Linked DNA regions of Macaca mulatta. The protein of the gene in region 2 purifies or fractionates together with the protein of the main gene of each other region. This does not show direct contact. Links are inferred from orthologs where the notes say so. Each region holds a gene or a part of one and is shown on either strand. Other genes may lie near its edges. The genes, in order: G3BP1 and SIRT6.

Region 1 (8,914 bases), on a different chromosome or scaffold from region 2:
AATGTATCTCGTGTGTGTGTGTGAGGTGTGTGAGAGTGTGTGTGTGTCGTGTGTGTGAGAGAGAGAGAGGGAGGGAGAGAGAGAGAGGGAGTGAGAGTGAGTCAGTCTCATCTCTCTCCTGGGCTGGAGTGCAGGTGGCAAGGTCACAGCTCACTGCAGCCTTGAACTCTTGGGCTCAGACTGTCCTCCCACCTCAGCCTCCTGAGTAGCTGGGACTGAGGTACAATCCACCACACTCAGCTAATTTTTTTTGTAGAGACGGTTTTACCATTTTGCCCAAGCTGATCTCGAACTCCTGGACTCAAGCAATTCGCTTGCTTCAGCCTTCCAAAATCCTGGGATTACAGGTGTGAACCACCACCCTTGGGTTTTTTGTTAAGGGTTTAAAATTTCCAGAACATTTTTTCTCATTTCCTCCTGATCATTACAAAAATCTTTAGTGAAGGGTAAGGCATTGTAAGAGAGTTAACTTCATTTTGCAGATACACTCAGAGTGTTTAAAAATTTGCTAGTACATATGCACATGACTGTTAAGTGGTAGAACAAGTCTCTAAGCAGTTTTTACCCTTCCTTCCTTTTCTTTTTTCTTTTTTCTTTTTTTTTTGAGACAGTCTTACTCTGTTGCCCAGGCTGAAGTGCAATGGTGCGATCATAGCTTGACCTCCTGGGCTCAAGTGATCCTCTTGCCTCAGTTTCCTACATAGCTAGGACTACAGGCATGCACTACCATGCCCAGCTAAGTTTGTGTGTGTGTGTGTGTGTGTGTGTGTGTGTATATATTTTTTTTTTTTTTGGTGGAGTCTCGCTCTGTCACCCAGCCTGGAATGCCATGGTGAGATCTCAGCTCACTGTAGCCTCTGCCTCCCGGGTTCCAGTGATCCTCCTGCCTCAGCCTCCTGAGTAGTTGGGACTACGGGTGCACACCACCACCATGCCTGGCTCTTTTTTTTTTTTTTTTTTTCCCGAGATGGAGTTTCGTTCTTGTTGCCCAGGTTGGAGTGCAATGGCGCTATCTTGGCTCACCGCAACCTGTGTCTCCCATGTTTAAGTGGTACTCCTGCCTTAGCCTCCCGAGTAGCTGGGATTACAGGCATGCGCCACCACGCCTGGCTAATTTTGTATTTTTGGTGGAGACAGGGTTTCCCTATGTTGGTCAGGCTGGTCTCGAACTTCTGACTTCAGGTGATCCGCCCACCTTGGCCTCCCAAAGTGTTGGGATTACAGGCGTGAGCCATCGCGTCCAGCCTTTTTTTGTGTTTTTATATTTGGTTAATTTATTTCAACCCCATAGAATAAAACTGACATAAAACATGACAACAAGAAAGAAGTATAGGCCAGGCATGGTGGCTCATGCCTGTAATCCCAGCACTTTGAGAAGCTGAGGTGTGCTGAGAGGCTGAGGTGGACTGAGAGGCTGAGGTGGGTGGATCACTTGAGGTCAGGAGTTCAAGACCAGCCTGGCCAATATGGCGAAACCCTCTCTCTGTACTAAAAATACAAAAAAAGGCGGAGGTTGCAGTGAGCTGAGACTGCGCCACGGCACTCCAGAATGAGCAACAGCATGAGACTCTGTCTCAAAAAAAAAAAAAAAAAAAAAAAAGGTGTTTACCTGGAAGATGGAAGACAAATGTCAAATCTTAATAGTGGTTGTCCCTGGGTTAGAGCATTTTGGTGTGTTGCTTTCTTGATGGAATATTGTTTTAATGAAAATGGATCAAAGAAGGACATAGATGGGTGAAAACTATGAGGAATTGACTTTGACATTCTTAATTGCATCAGCAAAAATGATTAAAAAGTGCTTTTAAAACCACTTGCATGAACTAGGTGTTTAAGGGAAACTGCTCACATTTATTCTCAGATACATTAATTAAAGGACACTTGAAGTCTATGGAGAATATAGCTGTTCCAGCCTTACTGCATATTTTCTTCCTGAGTGAAAATAGGAACTTATGTATTGGTGGCCATCTTGACATGCAACTACAAGATCCTTCCCAACAGTATCATCCTACGCCGAAACCTGGAACCAAATCCATTCCCATTCAGCAGATGTTGATCAAGTGGCATGTAGGGGATAGAGAGATGATTGCATACAAAGATGAAAAAGAAAACACATTTCTGCCAGGGCCAGGCGCGGTGACTGACGCCTATAATTCCAGCACTTTGGGAAGCCAAGGCAGGTAGGATTGTTTGAGTTTGTGAGTTCGAGACCAGCCTGGGCAACGTAGTGAGACCTTATTTTTACTTAAATAAAAATAATCAGCCAGGCATGGTGGCATGTGCCTGTAGTTCCAGCTACTTTGGGAAGCTGAGGCTAGAGGATCACTTGGCCGTGGCACATAGAAGCTGCAGTGAGGTATGATCGCATCACTGCAATCCAGCCTGGGTGACAGATTGAGACCCCATCTCCAAAAAAAGAAATTTGCCAGTATCAAACATGAAAAAAAAAAAAAAAAACTTAAGATACTTGAAGATGACAAGTAAATCATCTTCCCATTTTACAGATTTTATGGAAAGAACTCTTCTTATGTCCATGGGGGATTGGATTCAAATGGAAAGCCAGCAGATGCAGTCTACGGACAGAAAGTAAGCATTTCAAGCCTTATTTAGGCTGTTAAGCAGGTAGAAAATAACTCATAAAATTGAAGTGGATCATACTTAATAGGTTTTGGTGATGAGGATCAAATTTCTCAACTTTTTAGTAAAAGTTGATGTGTTTTATTACTATTTGATTAATATATTTGTTGAAATATTTATGTGATGTCAGATTTGTTAATTTTGCATGATACAAAGCTTGTGTGTGTTGGAAGATAATTGGCTTTAGCATGGGGGTCATCTTTGTGTTAATTCAGAACAGTTATTTAAAAAACTCAAGTGTGGTCACTGGGAATAGGGTATACAAAGAAACATCAAAATCCAGTCTGCGTTTCCTATAATTTAAATATGTACATTCTCTTTACCTGTGTTTTGTTGAAAGTTTTTTTTTAGTTGGAGGTTATTTAAATTTTAAGGCATTCACAGTTGATTTTTTTTTTTTTTTTAAGGAAATCCACAGGAAAGTGATGTCACAAAATTTCACCAACTGCCACACCAAGATTCGCCATGTTGATGCTCATGCCACGCTAAATGATGGTGTGGTAGTCCAGGTGATGGGGCTTCTCTCTAACAACAACCAGGCTTTGAGGAGATTCATGCAAACGTTTGTCCTTGCTCCTGAGGTATGTATAGGGATGATTATTTTGTAATGATCGAAACATGGAAAAAAAAAACAATGAACGGTTGTGCATATCTTTAATAACACTTGAAATTTCAGACTTACAGAAAACTTGGAATAATGGTACAATAACTCCTATACACCTTACCTAGAGCAGCTGTCACCACTTGCCCACATGTGTGTAATTCTTTCTCTAAAATACTCCAGTGGGCATTTCCTAAGAATAAAGAATTCTCTTCCATTCTATAGTACAGTTATCAAATTCAGGAAATGTTGATGCAGTATAATTATTCTATAATCCATATTTAAAATTTGGAAATTATCCCAATAATGTCTTAGAGTTATTTTTTTTCCTTGTCCAACATGGAATCTATAATTGCACATTGCATTTAGCTATCATGTCTCTAGTCTTTTCTAATCTGCAGTTGTTCCTTAATCTTTTGGTTTTTTTTTTATTGCATTGACATTTTTGAAGAGCATAATCACTTTTTTTTGTAGGATGCTTTATGTGTGTCATTCATTGCCTCACGTTAGAGAGGCACATTATGTCATTAAGTTGTGATATGAATTTTGATTAGTTAAGTTTTGCCACTGTAAAGTTAAATATGTTTTCTCTCTCTCTCTCTCTTTTTTTTGGAGACGGAGTCTCACTCTGTCGTCCAGGCTGGAGTTCAGTGGCTCCATCTCTGCTCACTGCAACCTCCGCCTCCTGGGTTCAGGCTGTTCTCCTGCCTCAGCCTCCCGAATAGCTGGGACTAGGAGCGTGCCACCACACTTGACTGATTTTGGTATTTTTAGTAGAAGATGACAAACCATGTTTGTCAGGCTGGTCTCTAACTCCTGACCTCAAGTGATCCACCTGCCTCCGCTTCCCAAAGTACAGGGATTACAGGTGTGAGCCACTGTGCACAGCCTTATTTTTTCTCTTTTGATTTGTAAATAAAGGATGGGAGATTCTCTTTTTATCTTTTTTGAACACTTACGGCATAAGATGTTTCAGGTTCATCTTGCACTGTTCCTGGCCCAGCCCCTATTCTTGAATCACCTGTTCCTTCAAGGAGGCCTGGTTCTTTTTAGTTATACTTACGAAAGGATGACAAGTTTATGTTGAATGATTGCATTTGTGTTTTCTTCCGGATTGGTCTAGACTGAACAAGGTTAGGAATCCAGTCTGCTTAAGCATGTATATAGAAATGGCACAGTATGAACTTGTTGATTAAATCATTGTTTCTTCTAGCATTAATCTTAAATTTTCTTTTTAGGATAGCAAACCTAAAAACACCTAAAATCTTTTAACCTTTGAATATGAGATAACTTTTTGTCTGTGCAAAATTACACGAAGCCATTACTGTCATAATTTTTAGAGGAAGGCTTAGATTAAAATGTAAAGATGTGGTAGACTTCTAAATATGCAAAGAATCACATGGAGTATGATTGTCAATTATAGGTTTAATTATAGTTTTTTTTTTCTTTTAAAGGAAGTATCTAACTTCTCGTTAGTATAATACACTGTTATGTAAACTGTCTCATTTAGTACACAGAGTATTGAAGCATACGTTTATATCTTTCCTTTCTGTTTTTTGAGATAAGAGTCTCCCTGTGTTAGCCAGGCTGGAGTGCAGTGGTAGGATCATGACATACTGCAACCTTGACTGCCTGGGCTGAAATGATAATCCCACCTGAGCTTCCCAAGTAGCAGGGACCGCAAGCACAGGCTACCATTCCTGGCTAATTTTTGTTTTTGTTTTTGTAGAGACACACTCTACAAAAAGTATGTTGCCCAGGCTAGTCTCAAACTCCTGGGCTTAAGCAGTTCTACCTCAGCCGTCCAAAGTGTTGGGATTTCAGGAGTTGAGCGAGCCACTGTGCCTAGCTGATACCTCTCTTTTCACAGAGGAGTAACAGCCTTAGGAACTGAATAACTCATAAATTATATAATTGGATCTGCACTCAGGTGTGTCTTATACCTAGTGCGAGCAATCTTTTTCAGGCTACATTACTCTCGAGTGTTTATATCAATATTTTTGGATACAGACTTGGGGGAATACCTGCTGAAGTTAGGACTATGATTGCCTTTTTTTTTTTGAGACAAGGTCTCGCTCTGTTGCCCAGGCTGGAGCGCAGAGGTGCAGTCTGGGTTCACTGCACCCTCCACCTCCCAGGTTCAAGTGATCCTCCCACCTCAGCCTCCCTAGCAGCTGGGACTACAGGCGTGGCCCTTTATGCCTATCTCATTTTTGTATTTTTAGTAGAGATGGGATTTCACCATATTGGCCAGGGTGGTCTTGAACTCCTGACCTTAGGTGATCTGCCCGCCTTGGCCTCCCAAAGTGCTGGGATTACAGGCATGAGCCACTGCGCCCATCCAGAATATGATTGCCTTATAATGATTTGAGGTGTGAACTGTGGCATCTTACATACTTAGAACTTTGTCAGTTTCTGCGTATTTATCTTATGGTGAGGTAAAGTGTTTTGAGCAAATATGTGAGTGTAGTCTTGTTACCAGCTATTGTCGAGTGGGCATTTTCAGTCTTGGCACTGTTGACATTTTGGATCAACTAATTCTTTGTTGTGGGAGCCTGTCCTGTGCATTGCAGGAATTTAGCAGCATCCCTAACCTTATAAGTTGTCAGTAGCATTCCCTGTAGTGAATACTGAAATGTCGGCAGGGCATGCTGGCTCATACCCATAATTCAGAACTTTGGGAGACTGAGGCAGGAGGACCACTTGAGCCCAGGAATTAAAGACCAATCAGGGCAGTTTAACAAGATCCTGTCTCAAAAAAGAAAAGAAAAAAGAGAAATTAACCTTTCAAGGTGGCGCGCCACTGTAGTCCTAGCTACTTAGGAGGCTGAGGCAGGAAGATCCCTTGAGCCTGGGATTTCAAGGCTGCAGTGAGCTGTGATGGCCCACTGCACCCCCACCTGGGTGACAGCAAGACCCTGTCTGAAAACCCCACAACAACAAAAACTGAAATGTCTCCAGACATTGCCAGATGTCTCATGGAAGCAGACTTGTCTCAGTCACCAATGGTGTGGAGTGATTTGACTTTCTAAAAGTCTGTTGAATAAATTAAAACTTTCTGTTGGCATTGCAGGGGTCTGTTGCAAATAAATTCTATGTTCACAATGATATCTTCAGATACCAAGATGAGGTCTTTGGTGGGTTTGTCACTGAGCCTCAGGAGGGTAAGTAGTGAAATATTTTAAATTACTTGTCTACATTTTTTTTAATGGCATCAGATTGCCCTTAAGAGACCATGCGTTTCTTTACTGTTTTCATTACACTCTGTTCTTCATTAATAACTAATTATCATGGCATATGAAGAATCTGAGGTTTTACCCTACTTGAAGCTGCTAACAGGTTAGCTTATATCGTGGATGTTAGTAGAAGATAAAAGACTCTTAGGTCAGAAGGAGACAGGTTACCTCACAGCAACGGTAGTAGCATTTTTGCCACATTTACCAACAGGATGTCATGAAGAAGGCTAGATGATACTTCTACTGCAGTGGGTTGTGTTAAAGGCATGGGACACTGAGTTTAGGGAACACAGATCTATTACAACAGGCAGTAAACATGCCTACTCTTTGTGCTGGGGGGAGATACGCTTTCAAAGCTGTTTGCTCTATAAATGTTCTTGAAAGACAGTCTAGAAGAAAGGGTAGGCATGGAAGATGTGTAGACACAGAGACTCATGGAAAATTTTCTCCAAAATAATAGAATTTGCATGTTGTTTATTTGGCTGAGAGTATATTTAATTTGTAATATAGTTTTACAGATAAGCAGTCATTTGCCTAGCTAGTAAAGTGGTAGAGCCTGCATTAGATAACTGCCTAATGTAATTTGGCTAATGTAGCCAGTTATGTGAAAGCCTGCATTAGGCTCCATGCTCTTAAAAACCAAGACACTACAGTAGCCTTAAAGTCTATCCTTAAGGCCGAGCGTGGTGGCTTACGCCTGTAATCCCAGCACTTTGGGAGGCCAAGGCAGGCGGATCACGAGGTCAGGAGATCGAGACCATCCTCGCTAACATGGTGAAACCCTGTCTCTACTAAAAATAGAAAAAATTAGCCAGGCGTGGTGGCGGACGCCTAGCTACTTGGGAGACTGAGGCAGGAGAATGGTGTGAACCCGGGAGGTGGAACTTCCAGTGAGCCGAGATTGCGCCACTGCACTCTAGCCTGGGCGACAGAGCGAGACTCCGTCTCAAAAAAAAAAAAAAAACAAAAAAAACAAACCAAAAAAAGGTCTATCCTTAAAAGCCTTAGTTCTGTCCTTAAAGTCAATGCCATGATTTTTACCAAATTGCCCTACTTTATTTATATGTGTTTTTCTTCACTGTTGTTTTGTGAACATTGTGAAAGTGAATGTATATGTGAATTCAGTAAGTACAAATTACTTTAAATATCTTTTTCTCACTTAGAATCTGAAGAAGAAGTAGAGGAACCTGAAGAAAGACAGCAAACACCTGAGGTGGTACCTGATGATTCTGGAACTTTCTATGATCAGGCAGTTGTCAGGTAAGAAAATTTTGTTCACATGTCTGCGGCTGCATAAGAACTTGCATTGTCTAGTCTTTCCCTTTGTTGGAGGGCATTTACATATTCTGAGAATTACCTCAAAATAATAATTTCTTAGAAGAATGGTTTTGTTTCTGGTAATTTTGAGTAAACAAAAATATGTAGCTTATTGTTAATAATAAATTGTACTGTGAAGGCAATCTACTATTGCTTAGTTTAAATAATATCGGTTTCTTTTTGGTTCAATTTTTTCTTGGTGTTAAGTGAAAACTTGGATATTGTTTATCAAGAGTTGGATGTATTGAGGTATTAAATGCTTTGACGGAATATGAAGTGGACAGACACCTATTAGAGATTGGGCATAAATTGATATAAATACCAATATGTGAGTTAAGTAGCAATAAAGAATTTCATTACCTTTGTAAGTGCATCATTGTACCTTTGGGTTTTTTCCCCCCTTGTGATTGGAACAGAAATGTATTTGATAGCAAAAGAAATCCATATTTACTTGTTACCATGTGACACTGAATGTTAATATCAGTGCCTGAAGGGTGTTTTCAAGTGTTTTTCAAGGTGTGATGAACTAATCAGGTTACTCACTTGGATTGCTGGTTGAAAATGAAGATTCATGGTCCCACTGCAAACCTACTGAATTAGACTTTCAGGAGGCAAAACATCTGCAGTTTTGTTTTTGTTCTTTTGAGACAGTCTCGCTCTCTTACCCAGGCTGGAGTGCAGTGGCATGATCTTGGCTGACTGCAACCTCTGCTTCCTGGGTTCAAGCAATCCCCCTGCCTCAGCCTCCTGAGTAGCTAAGACTACAGGCGCATACCAGCATGCCTGGCTAATTTTTGTATTTTTGTAGAGATGAGGTTTCGCCATAGCCAGGCTGGTCTGGAACTCCTAATCTCAGGTGATCTGCCCACCTTGGCCTCGCAAAGTGCTAGGATTACAGGTGTGTGCCCAGCCCCTCTGCAGTTTTAACAGCATTCCTGGTTTGATTTATGTGGAATTTTAAGAATTGTATTCTGAATCATAACTAATATATTTTCTCCCCCAAATTCTTTACGTATTTGAAAGTTTTTGTGTGTTTGTGTTAAAAGCCACATATCATAAAATTTGCCATCTTAACCTTTTTTTTTATCTTAACCATTTTTAAATATAAAGTATAGTAGTGTTAACT
Region 2 (8,686 bases):
CTTGAACCCAGGGAGGCAGAGGCTGCAGTGAACTGAGATCAAGCCACTGCATTCCAGCCTTGGTGACAGAGTGAGACTCTGGCTCAATAAAATAAAATAACATAAACACACTGAGATGCAAGAAGGAAATTTTTTATTGCATTGAGGACTTTTCCAGAAGCCTGGTGGACCCACGTCTCCCTCCAGCCCCAAAGGCAGTGCAAAGCCTCTACTGTGTCCCCCACTTCGAGGTGGGTCTCCCCTCCTGCAGGGTCCATGGAGGAGGGGTAGGGTGGGGTGTGGGGGGCCCAGTGGGGAGGCCCTGGGGGCAGAGGGAGTTCACTCCTGTTTAAGCTGGAGACCAGGGAGGGCCCAGCTGCACCTCTGGACAACACTCCATGTCAGAGGATGGGGTGTGGCAGGGGCTCAGCTGTTAGCTCTGGGGTGTGGCTTCTTCTCCAAACCCCACCAAAGGCCCCTAGAGCCCAGGGAGAGACCATGGAGGTCCGGTGCAACCCCTGGCCTGCAGCACAGCTCTCAGAGCCCTGAGGCTCCCGGGGACAGAAACAAGTAACAAAGTGAGACCACGAGAGGAAAAGAATCCACAGTTGCTACAAAAAGCCCCACCCTCCCCAAGCACCCTGGTCAGCTGGGGACCGCCTCGGCCTTTACCCTTTTGGGGGGTCTGTTGGGGGCAGGGCTGGTGGGCCGCTCCCGTTTGGGGCTGGCGGGCTCTGAGCCGTTGTGCTGGGCGCAGGGCTCCTGCTTGGGGCCGGCAGGGATAGAGCCGTTGATCCGGGTGGGTGATTCCTCCTTGGGCTCCAGCTTGGGGGTAGGCGGGCGGGGCAGGGGTGGCAGCGCCCTCTCCAGCACGTGGGGGCCGTCCCAGGCGGGGATCTCCAGCCCCAGGTGCTTCATGAGCCGGGTCATGACCTCGTCGACGTAGCCGTGGATGCGGAGGTCAGCATGGCGGTCCTGCCGGGGGACGGGATGGGTCAGGCATGTGGGGCAGAGGGTGCATGGTGGCCCTGGGCAGGGGTGGGCTCAGACACTTACGTGCTTGGTGGGCTGCAGGTTGACGATGACCAGGCGGCCCCCCCGGCGCTTGGTAGCCAGCGGCAGGTTCCCACTGGGTCGGATCTGCAGTGATGTTCCCAGCGTGATGGACAGGTCGGCGTTCCTGGGGCCAGGGAGTGTGGGCTTAGCCTGATCCCTTCCCCAGCCCTGCTCCTGCCAACATCTCGAGCCAGCCCTGGGGTCTGGCTCACACCTAGGTCATCTGCTCACTGGGGCGGTCAAGGCCAGCCCCGCTCCCGAGTCAGCCTTCGGGATCCTACGCCGCCCTCCTCTGCTGTCCGCTGGCAGGGTCATGGATCTGGGCCAGCCCTTAGACACTCCTAAGGAGCATCACAGTGTGGTAAGAGCTTGGATGCCTAGGGTGGGACCCTGGCTCAGCCACCTCCCGCTGGGCAGCACTGGATAGAGGAGACACCTGGCCAAAGCCTTGGTTTCCTTGTGCAGCACCCACCCAGAGCCATGAGGCGAGGAGTGTGTGTGTGTGTGTGTGTGTGTGTGTGTGTGTGTGTGTGCAGCCCCTGGCCTGGCCCACCTCCTCCAGGAAGCCTCCCCTGACTGCCTCTGAGCCAGAGCCACTGCCCCGTGCTGGAGCTGGCTGTGTTTGTGCTGTCGCCCCGGCCCGCCCCACCATAGGCTCCCTGGGGGGGGTCAGACCTGCTGGCCTCATCGGCGAGTGCCAGGTCCCGGTCGGGCAGGGAGTCCTCCCAGTCTAGGATGGTGTCCCTCAGCTCCCCCCTGCAATGAGGAAGCTGAGGAGAGTCCACAGGGGCCTAGCAGCCTCCCCTGGAGCCCAGGGCATGGGTGGGGGTGGCTCACCTGCAGGCCCGCAGCCCCCTTGCCTTAGCCACGGTGCAAAGCCGGCCCGTGGCCTTCAGGCCCATGGTGCCCACGACTGTGTCCCGGACATACTGCCTGTGTCGGGGAGGAAGGGGGAGGATGGGGCTGGGTCAGCCCCCGTGGGTGACTCTCGCACTGTTTCTAGGGTGACGTTCTCCCAGGAAGGTGGGTGGACAGGTCACCAGAACTAGCACCCAGAGACACGAACGAGGAGCCTTCCAGGAATAACAGGTCAGGATGCTGTTCGGTGCCCACACACAGAAAACAAAGCAGGAAACTGTCTCAGACAAAGCTCGAGAGACAGGACCCCGCATGGGATCCCGGACCAGGAGAAACAGGAACCACTGGAGCATGGGGACAACAGGCCGAGTCTGGATTCAGGATTAGAGAAGGCGATGTCCACTTTACTTTTCCTGACTTTAATCGTCATACTGGAACGGGTGCGGTGGCTCATGCCTTTCATCCTAGCACTTTGGGAGGCTGAGGCAGGCAGATCATGAGGTCAGGAGTACACCACCAGCCTGGCCAATATGGTGAAATCCCATCTCTACTAAAAATACAAAAATTAGGTGTGGTGGCGGGCGCCTGTAGTCCCAGTTACTCGGGAGGCTGAGGCAGAAGAATTGCTTGAACCTGGGAGGTAGAGGTTGCAGTGAGCTGAGATTGCGCCTAGTGCACTCCAGCCTGGGTGACAGAGCAAGACTGTCTCAAAAAAAAGGAGAAACACAGAGATAAGAAGGCCCCTGTAGCTATAGGCCCAGGACCACCAAGGGTGGCTGGCTGCCACCAGCAGCCACGAAAAGGCAGGAAAAATCCTCCACTACAGGTTGCAGAGGAGCACGGCCCTGCAGACACCTGGATTTTGGACTTCTGGCCCCCAGAACTGTCACAAATTTCTATTGCTCTAAAATGCTTATCTGCGGTAGGTTGCTATGGCAGTGCCAGGACATGGATGTACCCCCCCAGGAGGGAGGCATGCCCCAAAATCCCTCTAGGAGGCAGATATGCCCCTCAGATCCCCCCAGGAGGAAGGCATGACCCTCAGATCCCCCCAGGAGGGCCACACCCCAGTCCCCCCACATCCTCTGGGTCTCTGGGACAACAGATTCGGCCCCCAACCCCTCTGGCAGAGCCTGCCCTGAGGGAGGGATGGTGGCTGCATGGCTCACACTGTGCACCCGCCTGGGGGAAGCCTGGCAGAGCCTCTGCCCCTGCACCCAGGTGGCACTCACGTCTTACACTTGGCACATTCTTCCACGAACATGTTCCCATGAAGCTCTGCCAATTTGTCCCTGTGGGAGAAGAAGAGGCTCGATGGTGGGAAGGGCTCCCTGGATGCCCAGGCTTTGGGGCTGGTGCTAAGCCCCTCTACTCCAGGAAGGCTTCCCGGACTCCTCTCCCACAACATTGATCAACTCCTTTCTGGCTCTTCTAGCTCCTGGCTCCACCACTCATCTGCTATGTGTCTCTGGGCAAGTGGCCCAACCTCTCTGAGCCCAAGGAATCATTAACCCCTGCGGTTGAACCCACCTTAGATAACGGGAAGCCCTTTCCACTCAGAAAATGCCCGTCCCCTTCGACAGCATATGGGAACCTCTTGATGTCACCAGGTCAGAAGCACAGGAATTCAAATTCCCAGTTTATAATGGAAGAAACCGAGGCAATGAGTGGCCCTGAAGCATGAGATCCAATCCCAGCTTTATTTTATTTATTTATTTTATTTTATTTATTTATTTTTTTTTTTGAGACGGAGTCTCGCTCTGTCGCCCAGGCTGGAGTGCAGTGGCCGGATCTCAGCTCACCGCAAGCTCCGCCTCCTGGGTTCACGCCATTCTCCTGCCTCAGCCTCCCGAGTGGCTGGGACTACAGGCGCCCGCCACCTCGCCCGGCTAGTTTTTTGTATTTTTTTAGTAGAGACGGGGTTTCACCGTGTTAGCCAGGATGGTCTCGATCTCCTGACCTCGTGATCCGCCCGTCTCGGCCTCCCAAAGTGCTGGGATTACAGGCTTGAGCCACCGCGCCCGGCCTATTTTATTTTTTTGAGATGGAGTCTCGCTCTGTCGCCCAGGCTGGAGTGCAGTGGCGCGATATCAGCTCACTGCAAGTTCTGCCTCCCAGGTTCAAGCCGCCAGCTCACTGCAACCTCCACCTCCTGGGTTCAAGCGGTTCTCCTGCCTCAGCCTCCTGAGTAGCTGGGACTACCGGCACCCGCCACCATGCCTGGCTAATTTTTCTTTTTTTTGAGATGGGCTGGCTAATTTTTTGTATTTTTAGTAGAAAGGGGGTTTCACCATTTTAGCCAGGATGGTCTTGATCTCCTGACCTCGTGATCTGCCCGCCTTGGCCTCCCAAAGTGCTGGGATTACAGGCGTGAGCCACCGTGCCTGGCCTAATTTTTCTATTTTTAGTACAGACGGGGTTTCACCATGTGGCCAGGATGGTCTTGATCTCCTGACCTTGTGATCCACCCGCCTCGGCCTCCCAAAGTACTGGGATTACAGGCACAAGTCACCATACCCAGCCCTCCTTTGCTTTTTTTTTTTTTTTTTTTTGAGACAGAGTGTTGCTCTGTCGCCCAAGATGGAGTGCAGTGGCACCATCTCGGCTCACTGCAACCTCTGCCTCCCGGGTTCAAGTGATTCTCCTGACTCAGCCTCCCGAGTAGCTGAGATTACAGGTGTGTGCCACCACGCCCAGCTAATTTTTGCATTCTTAGTAGAGATGGGGTTTCACGATGTTGGCCAGGCTAGTCTCGAACTCTTGACCTTGTGATCCACCCTCCTTGGCCACCCAAAGCGCTGGGATTACAGATGTGAGACACCGTGCCCGGCCTCTCCTTTGCTTTCATAAGCAGAGAAAAAGCTCTTCCTCACCCCTTACCCCTGGGTGCCCAGCTCCTTGTTCAACAACTGACCTGGCTGTCACCGGCTGCTTCAGGGGTGAGACCCGGCAAAGAGGGGCAGGGGAGGGCCACACCTCTATTAGGAAATCAGTCAGCCCCAGAGCACAGGTTCACTTCAGTGTTAGACACGTTTAGTGTCAGATTAATAAAGATGGAAATTAAAAACACAACAGGCCGGGCGCGGTGGCTCACGCCTGTAATCCCAACACTTTGGGAGGCCGTGGCAGGCGGATCACCTGATGTCAGGAGTTCAAGACCAGCCTGACCAACATGCAGAAACCCCGTCTCTACTAAAAATACAAAATTAGCTGGATGCAGTGGCACCTGCCTGTAATCCCAGCTACTCAGGAAGCTGAGGCAGGAGAATTGCTTGAACCCGGGAGGCTGAGCCGAGATTACGCCATTGCACTCCAGCCTGGGCAACAAGAGTGAAACTCGGTCTCAAAAACAACAACAACAACAACAACAACAAACTGCAACTTCTAGACCCTGACAGCTCTGCTCCACTCGGCCCCATCCCAAGGGAAATTCTGCCTCTGGCCCCGGCGGGGACAGCTCTGAGCCATGGGGCTCAGAAATCTCCACACACTGGGCCAAGAAAGATCCAGAGAGCTCAGGGCTAGAATCTTACAGAACCAGGAAAAGGGGACTTTCCCCCTAAAAACGCAAACCCGGTTTATGGGGCCCCAAGTGCTTTCCTGGGGGGGGCGGGGCCCGGGTGTTACCTAGGGAAGCCTGAGCGCACATGGAGCCCGTCCACGTTCTGGCTGACCAGGAAGCGAAGGAGGCCCACGCGTTCCAGCTGCACCAGCGCCATGTGGGTCTGCGTGGGCCGTGCGCTCTCAAAGGTGGTGTCGAACTTGGGGGCCAGGCCTCGCTCCTCCATGGTCCAGACTCCGTGGGGACCCCTGAAGGTGACAGGCCGGGAGAGATGGACAGGCAGAGGGGAACGGAAAAAGAGACAGAGGGAGCATCAGAGAGGCATAGAGAGAAAGTTGGAGAGAGAGACAATCGGGAGACAGAGAGAGGGAATCAGAAAGAGAGAAATAGAGGGTGAGTCGGAAGAACAGGGAGAGGGGGATAGAACAAGACACAGACAGAGAGATAAAGAGTGAAAGACAAAGAAAGCAAGTCAGAGACAGAATAGGAGAGAGAAAGAGAGAGGGAGAGGCAGAGAGAGATGAATTCACACCAAGGCAAAAATGACTTGTTCTATTCAACCAGCACTGCTGCTGCAATGAGCCCGGACGATGCCCACATGGACCCAAGCCCTGCCCTCCAGAAGCCCTTGATCTTGGGGGAGACATGTGGACACAGACCCTCTGGCCCCAAGAGTCAAGCCTGGACCAGAGGAGGTACCCGGGCTTGGGGAAGCCCAGTGGAGGTGTTGGGGGCCCTGGGCTTCTCCAGGCCCAGGTATCTCTTTTGGTCCAGGCTTGACTGGGCTTCCTGGAGGAGGCTGAGCAGTTTCTTGAAGGGTGAGAGGGAAGATCAGCCAGAAGGCGTAAACAAAGGCCTGGGTGCTGGGAAGAGCTGGGAAATGCAGGTGTTTTGGGGCTGCAGCAGGAGCAGGAGGGGCTGAAGTTGGAGAGGTGATTCAGGGCTGGAGCAGGAAGGGCTTCAGCTTCCAGCACAAGGTATTCAGAACTCTACACTGCCTGGCAATGGGAAGCCACAGCAGGTTATGGAAGAGGAGGAGGAGTAGAAATTCACGCCTTGGAATTCTTTTTTTTTTTTTTTTTTTTTTTTTGAGATGGAGTCTGGCTCTGTCGCCCAGGCTGGAGTGCAATGGCACGATCGTGGCTAACTGCGAACTCCACCTCCCGGGTTCAAGCGATTCTCCCACCTTGGCCTCCCAAGTAGCTGGGATTACAGGTGCCCGCCACCATGCCTGGCTACACTTGCAAGTGTGAAAGACTACATTTCCCAGCATTCCTTGAAGCCATATGTGATCAGGCGACTGTGTTCTGGCCAATGGGGTGAGTGGAATGCTGGTTGTGACAGGGACACATCTTCATTTTGTTTTGTTTGTTTTTAGACAGAGCCTCACTCTGTCGCCCAGGCTGGAGTGCAGTGGTGCGATCTCGGCTCACTGCCTCCACCTCCCAGGTTCAAGAGATTCTCCTGCCTCAGCCTCCCAAGTAGCTGGGACTACAGATGTGTGCCACCACACCTGGCTAATTTTTGTATTCTTAGTAGAGACAGGGATTCATCATATTGGCCAGGCTGGTCTGGAACTCCTGACCTTGTGATCCCCCACGCCCAGCCAAGGGACACATCTTACGGGGAGGGGGTGTTGCCCCTTTCCAGTACCCAGGACACATCCAGGAGAACAGCAGATGGATGGGTTCTAATTCCCAGATGTATATGGCTCGCAAGGAAGCCCCTGGCAGCCTGGTGGGCCTTGCCTCGAATTCCCCTGCACACTCACAGACCTGAAGTCGGGAATGCCAGAGGCAGTGCTGATGCCGGCACCCGTGTGGAACACCACATGGGAAGACTGCCAGACCAGCCTTGCCAGCTCCCACACCTTCCGCTCCAGCTCCTCCGGGGGGTCGAAGATCTGTGGGGGGAGAGAGCAGATGGAGGGGTCAAAACAGTTCCCCGAGTGGCAAGGCCACACACAAGCCACAGACTGAGCTGTCCCTGTCTTGCCTGAGGGAGGAAAACGGATTGGAAAAGGCAGCTTGTCCTCATGCCCCTCCTCTGCCTACAACCTTCCATGACTCCCACTTGCCTTGTCAAAGCCCTAGCCCTCCCCACGGCCCACCAGGCCCTGTACTACCTCCCCTGCCCCCTCCCTGCCCTCTTCTCCTCCCTCTCCCCGCCTCACTCTGCTCCAGCCACACAGGTCTCCTCCCTGTTCCTCCATCACACCAGGCACAGTCCTGCTTCAGGGCCACACCCTTTAATGCTCTTCCCCTAGATACCCACATGGCTCCCTCCCTCACCTCCTGTAACTTGTGGCTCAGATGTCACTTCTGTGACAGTGACGCCTCCCTTGGCCACCTGGTTTCCATGCAACCCCTAGTCAGTCTCTCTTACTAGAAAGAGGGGTTTTTAATCTGTCTTGCTCCTGGCTGTGGCCCTAGTACCTAGAAAGTGCCTGACACACGGTAGGTACTCCATAAATGCTGGTAGAATAAAGTGACTAACAGGCCGGGCGTGGTGGCTCACGCCTGTAATCCCAGCACTTTGGGAGGCCAAGGTGGGTGGATCACTTGAGGTCAAGAGTTCGAGACCAGACTGGCCAACATGGTGAAACCGCGCCTCTACTAAAAACACACAAATTAGCTGGGCGTGGTGGCAGGTGCCTGCAATCTCATCTACCCTACAGAGGAGGCTAAGGCAGGAGCACTTGAACCTGGGAGGGGGAGGTTGCAGTGAGCCGAGATCGTGCCACTGCACTCCAGCCTGGGCGACACAGAAACTCTGTCTCAATAATAATAATAAATAATAATAATAATAATAAAATAAAGTGACTAACAGCAGCATGAAGAGTGGGGCTTCTGGACGGGCGCACACCATCGGCTCTCATTAAATGCATGATTCAGAATGCATGGGCCAGCCTTTTTGGAATGGGGCCATCTTCCCCTCGTTTGCAGGAAGGATAGAGATGGAGACCCAGAAGGGAAATGACTTCCCCAAAGTCCCACAGTGCGCGGTGGGGGCAGCCGATCCCTCCACTTCCCCTCCGAGTGGCTGGAGGGATCTTTCTGGCACATTCTGTCCAGGCCCCTCGCCAGGGCAAAACCGTTCCCCATCACCCTCAGGATAAAGTACCAACTCCCCAGCCTGGCATTTGAGCCTCGTCCTGGCCCAACTCTGGAAACCTCCCAGGCCTAATCGTTCTCCAAATGTGTTTATTCCCACCTCCCTGCCTTTGCGCCT

Evidence for each region.
Region 1: the proteins of SIRT6 (region 2) and G3BP1 purify together in Homo sapiens (affinity purification with mass spectrometry; 3 studies listed by BioGRID and IntAct, with this or other methods). This does not show direct contact. The link is inferred for Macaca mulatta from reciprocal best matches to the Homo sapiens genes SIRT6 and G3BP1.

The regions. Positions count from the first base shown.
Region 1 is NC_133411.1:160,729,632-160,738,545, forward strand, and holds part of G3BP1 (ras GTPase-activating protein-binding protein 1), read left to right. Parts: intron 1-2,501; coding exon 2,502-2,583; intron 2,584-3,041; coding exon 3,042-3,215; intron 3,216-6,308; coding exon 6,309-6,399; intron 6,400-7,634; coding exon 7,635-7,731; intron 7,732-8,914. UniProt on the Homo sapiens protein: Protein involved in various processes, such as stress granule formation and innate immunity. Plays an essential role in stress granule formation.
Region 2 is NC_133424.1:5,002,012-5,010,697, forward strand, and holds the end of SIRT6 (NAD-dependent protein deacylase sirtuin-6), read right to left. Parts: intron 7,359-8,686; coding exon 7,231-7,358; intron 5,704-7,230; coding exon 5,521-5,703; intron 3,186-5,520; coding exon 3,126-3,185; intron 1,969-3,125; coding exon 1,873-1,968; intron 1,792-1,872; coding exon 1,711-1,791; intron 1,160-1,710; coding exon 1,036-1,159; intron 955-1,035; coding exon 625-954; 3' UTR 117-624; downstream 1-116. UniProt on the Homo sapiens protein: NAD-dependent protein deacetylase, deacylase and mono-ADP-ribosyltransferase that plays an essential role in DNA damage repair, telomere maintenance, metabolic homeostasis, inflammation, tumorigenesis and aging.